Linked DNA regions of Coturnix japonica. The protein of the gene in region 1 interacts with the protein of each later gene in a pairwise test. Links are inferred from orthologs where the notes say so. Each region holds a gene or a part of one and is shown in the gene's direction. Other genes may lie near its edges.

Region 1 (2,910 bases):
TCACTGGACACTGTGCCCGTAAAGGAGCCGGCCAAAGGAGCCGGCAGGGAGTTCTCCCTGGACTTGGATGCTGCCATGGAGATGCTGGCCAAGCTCCAGCTCGGCGTCAGCGGTGCCGTCTCCAGCCTCATGTCCTTCATCAGCACCAACTGGCGCAGCCCCGAGCACATGGAAGCCAATGCTGCCGGCATCCGCCTGGCAGCCGAGGGTGTTCAAACAGCCCTCAGGGAGCTGCTGGAGTTTGCCCGGGGGGCAGTGGGCAACGCTGCCCAGGCCTCGGACCGCTCACTGTACGCCAAGCTCAGCAAGCAGCTGCAGAAGATGGAGGAGGTCTACCAGGCCCTGGGGCGGCACAGCCAGGCGCTGGATGCATGTCACTGGGCTCCCAGTGCCTTGGTGGCTGGCAAACCGGGCACGGACGACTTGGAGCTGTTCGTCATGTACTCGCGTGGTGTGCCCGATGACACCAAGCAGCTCGCCTCCTTCCTGCATGGCAATGCTTCTCTGCTCTTCAAACGGACAAAGCCAGCGCCAGAGGGCAATGGCCACGGGCCCACGCACCCCTCTGACAAGGCCAGCAGCATCCAGTCACGGCCCCTGCCCTCCCCACCCAAGCTGCTGGCACAGGAGTCCCCCGAGGGTCCCTACGAGAACCACGAGAGCGGCTGGATGGAGGATTATGACTACGTGCACCTCCAGGTGGGTGCGGGCTGGGGGCACCCTGTGGGTGACGTGGGTGGGATTTCTGTCTCCTCATCTGGGTCTTGCTTTTCCCCTCCTGTTATGGCTGTAGGAACTGAGGGCATCCTGGTGCAGGGCTGGGGGGCTCCATCCTGATAGGGCTTGTGGTTTTCCCCCTTCTCACCCTCCTTCCTTTCTTTCAGGGCAAGGAGGAGTTTGAGAAGACGCAGAAGGAGCTGCTGGAGAAAGGCAACATTATCCGGCAGAGCAAGGACCAGTTGGAGCACCAGCAGGTAATGGGGCTGGGGGATAAGCATGGCTCAGTGGGGACCCTGGGGTGGGGAGGGCAGTAGGGTTGGGCTCCTGTTCCCCATTCCCACAGCCGTGAGCTCCCCATGGCTCTGTCCGGCTCTTCTCTGATGCCAGATAGGATCGGGGCGCTGTCCCACGTGGCATCCCCTGGGGTGCAGCCATCGCTGTGGGGCTCGGTGGCCACCCTGCCTGTCCTCACACCCATCTCTCCCCATAGCTGAAGCAGTTTGAGCGGCTGGAGCAGGAGGTGACGCGCCCCATTGACAACGACCTGTCCAACTGGAGCCCTCCCCAGCACTACGGCCCTGTACGGGGCGGTGGTGCCCTGTGTGCCGCCGACCACCAGCTGCTCCTCTTCTACCTGGAGCAGTGCGAGGCCAACCTCACCACGCTCACCAATGCTATTGACGCCTTCTTCACCGCTGTCAGCACCAACCAGCCCCCAAAAATCTTCGTGGCCCACAGCAAGTTCATCATCCTCAGCGCCCACAAGCTCGTCTTCATCGGCGACACACTGTCCCGCCAGGCCAAGGCGCAGGACGTGCGGCACAAGGTGACACACTACAGCAACCTCCTGTGCGAGATGCTCAAGGAGATCGTGGTGAGCACCAAAGCGGCTGCGCTGCACTACCCGTCACCTGCCGCCTCCAAGGACATGGTGGAGCGCGTCAAGGACCTTGCCAACAGCACGCAGCAGTTCAGGAGGGTGCTGGGCCAGCTGGCTGCCATGTGATGGCCCTGTGCTGTTCCCCCTCCCATTGCCCTCTGCCCAGCGTAACAGACCTGTACATAGAGACTCACACAGGGGTGAGGGGCCGCAGCTGTCATCCCCCTCCCCTCTCATCCTCTCGACATTGGTTTCAGAGCCATGCCCGCAGTGCCCAGGGTTGCAATCTCTCCCTTCTGTGCTCGTTCCCCTGCTCCAGTTGAAGTGGGGCTGGCAGTGGGGCTGCTCCAGTGTCCTGGGGTGATGCTGTGGGCTCCATCGGCACATCGGCCATCTGTTGTAGTGTTGTGGCACAGACAGAGCCAGGCAAGCAGCAGCAGTAGGGAGATGAAGAGTGCTGTCCTGAGTGACAAGGGAAGGGGTGAGGGGCAGCCGGGGTGGGAGGAGGGGCTTGAACCTTTGCATTTCAAGTCTTGGTTTTGCTGTACCAACTGTAATTGAAATGCAAACCGACATTGGTGCCTTCTGAACACTGGGGAAGCTTCCTCCTTCCTCACAGTTCCCGGAGCCATGGAGTTGCAGCCGCCCCCAAAACTCAACCCCCTGGTCCCACAGCAGCATAAAGATTTGCCTAGAAATTCCCCTGGCACCTGGCTGTGTGTGTGCGGTGCTGGGATCGGGCGCCCTGTGTGTGCAACTGGGGTGTCCTTTCCCCCAAAAGCAGCGGTGCTGGAGCATGGCTGGGGTGCCACGTGCTTTATGGCAAAGCAATAACATGGGTTTGTTCATAGCATCTTGATGTGGAACAGGATGTGGCACTGGCTGTGGGCACAAGCAGCGGTGAAGATGCAGTGCTGCACAGCCCACAGCCACCCACACTTTGCTGTGCTCCTCACACCTACACCTGGGTTGCAGTGTAACTGCTGTGCAGATGGAGGCAGTGCCAGCACAGCAGGTGCCGTGGTAGCCCTGGGCCGTGGGCACCCAGAGCCCAGCTGTGGGCTCACAGGGCTTGATGCAGTGCCCCAGCATGTATCTGGTGCTCGGGACAGCCCCAACCCTGTGCACCCACCTCCTGCCCAATTCCTATGTGCCACGCCTCGGCTCCCACGGTGATTCCCCAGCCCTGTTCCTGTGTGCCAAAGTGCTGATCACCACCCTCAGCCGAGACACCACTGTGTCCTGCACCATAGGGACCACAGCACCTATGAGGCCCGATCCCACATCCCATACATCCCTGTCCCTACCCA
Region 2 (4,110 bases), on another chromosome or scaffold:
CAAGGACGGGGCATCCACAACCTCCCTGGGCAGCCTGTTCCAGGGCCTAACCACTCTCTTAGTAAAGAACTTTCCCCTAACATCCAACCTAAATCTTCCCTCTTTTAACTTAAAACCATTTCCCCATGTCCTGCTATTATCAGCCCTTTCGAAGAGTTTACTCCCCTCCTGGGGAGTAAGTCCTTTGAGATCATTAAGCCCAACCCGACCATACCCCTCAGTGCCACATCCCCACCTGCAGCTCTCTCAACCCCCAGCACCTCTCAGTGCAGCCGTGCCTCTGCCCCACTACTCGTTAGGAGAAGGAACCCACCGCAGCCCCCTCCCAGGCTGCCTGGGGGAGCGGAGCCCTGCAGCCCCCTTACCTGACAGCCTCGGGGGAAGTCTTAAAAGGGATATTTCTGTTGTATTGAGCATCAGAGACAAACGCTGCAGCCAGCAGGAGCTCCTGGGGAGGGGAAGAAACACAGGTCAGGGGGTGCTTGGGGAGGGGGGCAGAGGGCGATATCCCTGCCCCGCAGGCGGGGATGGAGCACACGCCGCCCTACACCCCGTGCCACCTCCCAGCCCGAGGCGAGGGCTCTACCTGCGAAGCAGCCTCAGCCATGGCCGGGGAAACGCTTCACCTCCCGCCGACCCCGCGGCATTTAACGGGCCCGCCCCGCCGGCGGAAACGGGAGGCGGAGGAAGGGCCGGGAGGAGGAGCGGCAGCCGCAGGGTCCGCCCGCAGCGCTGCAGCCACGTTCCCGATGGTGCTGGATGCGCTGAGGCCCCGCTCGGTGCGCTGGGCGCTGCTGGCCGCCTTCGCCACCGGTGTCGTGGTGGGCTGGCAGGCCGCCCGCGCCCGCCGCCGCTTCCTGCGCTGGAGGCAGAGCCGCCTGCAGCGCCGCTTGGACGCCGCCCGGCAGCAGCTGGAGGCGGCCTGACCCCGCGCCGCCCTGCCCGGCTCCCGATCGTACGGCCGGAGCCACGCGGACCCGCCGCCCGGCGATGCCCGGAGCCAGCGCTGATCACACGGACCGAACCGACCGCACCGCGGGCTCATCGCTGCCGTGGGTGAGGACACGGCGCGCAGCGAGCGGCGGATCCCGGCGTGACGGAACGAGTGGGGAGCGGGGAGACGGAGCAGCGCCCGGCAGCACCAACGGGGCATTAAACGGGGCATTAAACGAGTGTGTGTGTCGGACTCGGTGTGTTCGTTCCTGCTGTGTGTTCATACTCCATACACTCCATATCCTCCATCCCGGCCCACGCTCGCGGCGCTCCCGGCAGTGACGCCATCTCCCAGCGCCGCCCGTTGCCCAGCGACCATGACGGGGCGGCGGGCGCGCAGCCCACTGCAGAGAGTGCAGCGCCAGAGCAGGGAGCTGCGGGCGCAGGTATCGGTACCGGTATCAGTATCGGCATCAGTACCGGTATCAGTATCGGTATCAGTATCGGTATCGGTATCAGTACCGGTACCGGTATCAGTATCGGCATCAGTACCGGTACCGGTATCGGTACCGGTACCGGCAGCCGCTGGGGAGCCCTTCCGGCAGCTGACGGCACCCCTCTGTGTTGCAGGTGGAGGCGCTGCGGGCAGAGAGCGCGGGCGCGGCCGTGGGGCAGCGGGAGGCCTTGAGGCAGAGGTGAGCGGGGCTGCGGGGCGCCTGGAGCTCGGTACCGGGGATGGAACGGACCTTAACAACCATTGGGCACCAACCCCCGCCTTAAACTGCTGACCCCAACCTGACCCTGTTGCCCAGGGCTCCATCCAGCCGTGGGCACCACCAGGAGTGGGGCATTCTGTGTTCTATGGGCAGCCTGTGTCCGTCTCATTGCCTCTGAGTGAAAATTCCCCTTAACGTCTAACCTCAAATTCCTCTTTGTCCTGACACTCAGACTGTAAAATTTGCTCCCATTCCTATTTATGAGTTCCCTTGAGGCACCATAAGGCCGCAGTGAGGTCTCTCCGCAGCCTTCTCTTCTCCAGGCTGAACGATCCCACCTTCCCCTGCTGTATCAGCTACACCACTCAGCGTGCTGTCAGCAGCACACTCAATCCCACTGTCAGAGTCACTGATAAAGATGCAGAAGTGCACATCCAAAGACAGACCCTTGTGGGACACCACTCATCACCTGCCTCCACTTATGCTATACCAGGACACAGAACCAGCTCTCTCTTGCTGAGGTTCAGCCTGGGAAGTCACCAGAGCCTCTACTTAATGCAGTGTTACCTGGTCTTTGGGGCATTATGGAAAGCAGGGGTTCAGCTTTCATAGTGCAGTGGCACTCCTGCCTTATCCCCGAGCAGCACTAGGCTACAGCAACAGCAACAGGCTCCCTCAGCACCCTGCCCAGTGCTGGGTGTGGGCAGTGACAGCAAGTGCCTGTGAAGTGATGTAGCACGGGTAACCACACAGGTTGTCTGAAATCCTCAAGGCTGAAGTTGTTTAAAGCAGGAACTTGCACATCACAGGTAACAAGCAGTGAAGCTGCGCATCCCTTTGTTCTTCAGGGATTCTTGTGTGAATGATTGACACCAAGAACTTGTCAGAGCCAGGAGATTATCTTATTTTGTCCCTCTGCTCCAAATCTGCTGCTGCTGCTTCTTGAGTTTTGTTAAAACACTGCTTCTAAGGACACACCAAACGCTTGGTTTATGAATTACAGACGGAATTAAACTGGTCTCTTTTTGTAAAGCTTTGTGTTCATACAGCTTTGAGAAGGTATGGGCATCTAAACATACGCATTTAAGTGATTTTGTGATTCAATATCCCGTCAACCAGATGTAAGGTAACGCTGTCTGTCTTGCTTTCAATGCAGGTGTTTTCAGCTGCAGAAACTGGTGGACGAGAATACAAATACTCTTCGTAGTTTGAAAAAGGTAGGTATAGAGACTTGCTAATGGTTTTCCCTGTAACATATTGTGGTAAATATTCAGAGAATGGTAACCTGCTTCAATTTCAGATGCCTCAGGATGAAAGTAATGCCTAGCACCACATAACCTACGAATGGGATCTCTGAGATTAATGTATATGATCTGAAAGCATATTCTTAATGCTTTGTTATGCGCATTAAAATCTTTCTTGACCCAATATATTTAAAGGTGTTTATCAACCCACTCCATTGTGTTGGGAGAGGAGAATGTAGTTTGAAAATGTAGTGTGAAAGTTCATTTTGTTGAAGTAAAAGGCAATAAAATATCATAAGCAGGGAGTTATCACTGCTGTGGAATATCAAAACTCATGAGATGTGTCTGTAAAACTGTAGAGAAACACCAGGTTTGTTGTATTTTCCTTCCTCAGGCTGACGAGCCTGCGCCTGTGGGGAATTACGATCAGAGGAAAGAAGAAGAAGAAAAGCTGTTGCTAAAGCTATCCCAGCAGCTGCAGAAATTTTGTCATGTCTTGGATAAGGACAATGCAGCTACAAAGGACACGGTGTAAGTAACCCAAACAAGCATCTGTACTTAAATAGTGTCATACATACAGCACTGGAAAGAACCTTCAAAGACTGCTTATCCTCCTTATTAGTTATTGCAAAAGAGCTGGCTCTCCTGGGGCTTGTTTTATTAATGAAATCAAGAGAGCCTCGCTGCAGTTTTCCGAGGATTTTGTTTAATGGCTGAGATATAACGTAGGTTGTACTGTGGTCTGTATTCTTAGGGATGAAAAACCATTTCAGGTCAGGCCAGAGTCTACAAAGAGATTTCTGGATAACACAGGGAAGCCCGTGTTGTAAGGCTTTAACAGCAATTAAAATATATATATATATATAAAATTAAAAAGTGAATAAAAAGTTTGATTTATTTTGGGTAGGAACAAGGGGAGTCTGAAAGATTCTCGGAGAGAACACAAAGATAAAGAAGAGGATGAGGGTGCTGATGACAATGGTGAAAGCAGTGAGGAAGAAGAAAGTGAAGAAGCAGATGAGGAAGATGGGGATAACTTGGATGATCCTGATGTTAAAGAATGCATTGCAGTGGGAAGCTTTAATGCACAGCAGGAAGGGGACCTCACATTTACGGTAAGCAGGCCCATAGAATTGATTGCCATGTTGGTGCTGCGGGTCATTCTGTATTAAGTGGTGGCAATAATGAAATCCTATGCTTTTGGGATTCAGAAAGAT

What was found.
Region 2: the proteins of BCAR1 (region 1) and NPHP1 interact in a two-hybrid assay, tested with the Homo sapiens proteins (2 studies listed by BioGRID). The link is inferred for Coturnix japonica from reciprocal best matches to the Homo sapiens genes BCAR1 and NPHP1.

Annotation. Positions count from the first base shown.
Region 1 is NC_029526.1:685,775-688,684, forward strand, and holds the end of BCAR1 (breast cancer anti-estrogen resistance protein 1), read left to right. Parts: coding exon 1-699; intron 700-884; coding exon 885-974; intron 975-1,210; coding exon 1,211-1,726; 3' UTR 1,727-2,302; downstream 2,303-2,910. UniProt on the Homo sapiens protein: Docking protein which plays a central coordinating role for tyrosine kinase-based signaling related to cell adhesion. Implicated in induction of cell migration and cell branching. Involved in the BCAR3-mediated inhibition of TGFB signaling.
Region 2 is NC_029518.1:4,652,274-4,656,383, forward strand, and holds the start of NPHP1 (nephrocystin-1), read left to right. Parts: upstream 1-1,208; 5' UTR 1,209-1,310; coding exon 1,311-1,379; intron 1,380-1,563; coding exon 1,564-1,628; intron 1,629-2,805; coding exon 2,806-2,866; intron 2,867-3,287; coding exon 3,288-3,424; intron 3,425-3,577; exon of another isoform or gene 3,578-3,800; coding exon 3,801-4,008; exon of another isoform or gene 4,009-4,110. Other genes in the region: two pore calcium channel protein 1-like, read right to left, coding at 366-448, 587-607; MTLN (mitoregulin), read left to right, coding at 528-926. UniProt on the Homo sapiens protein: Together with BCAR1 it may play a role in the control of epithelial cell polarity. Involved in the organization of apical junctions in kidney cells together with NPHP4 and RPGRIP1L/NPHP8. Does not seem to be strictly required for ciliogenesis.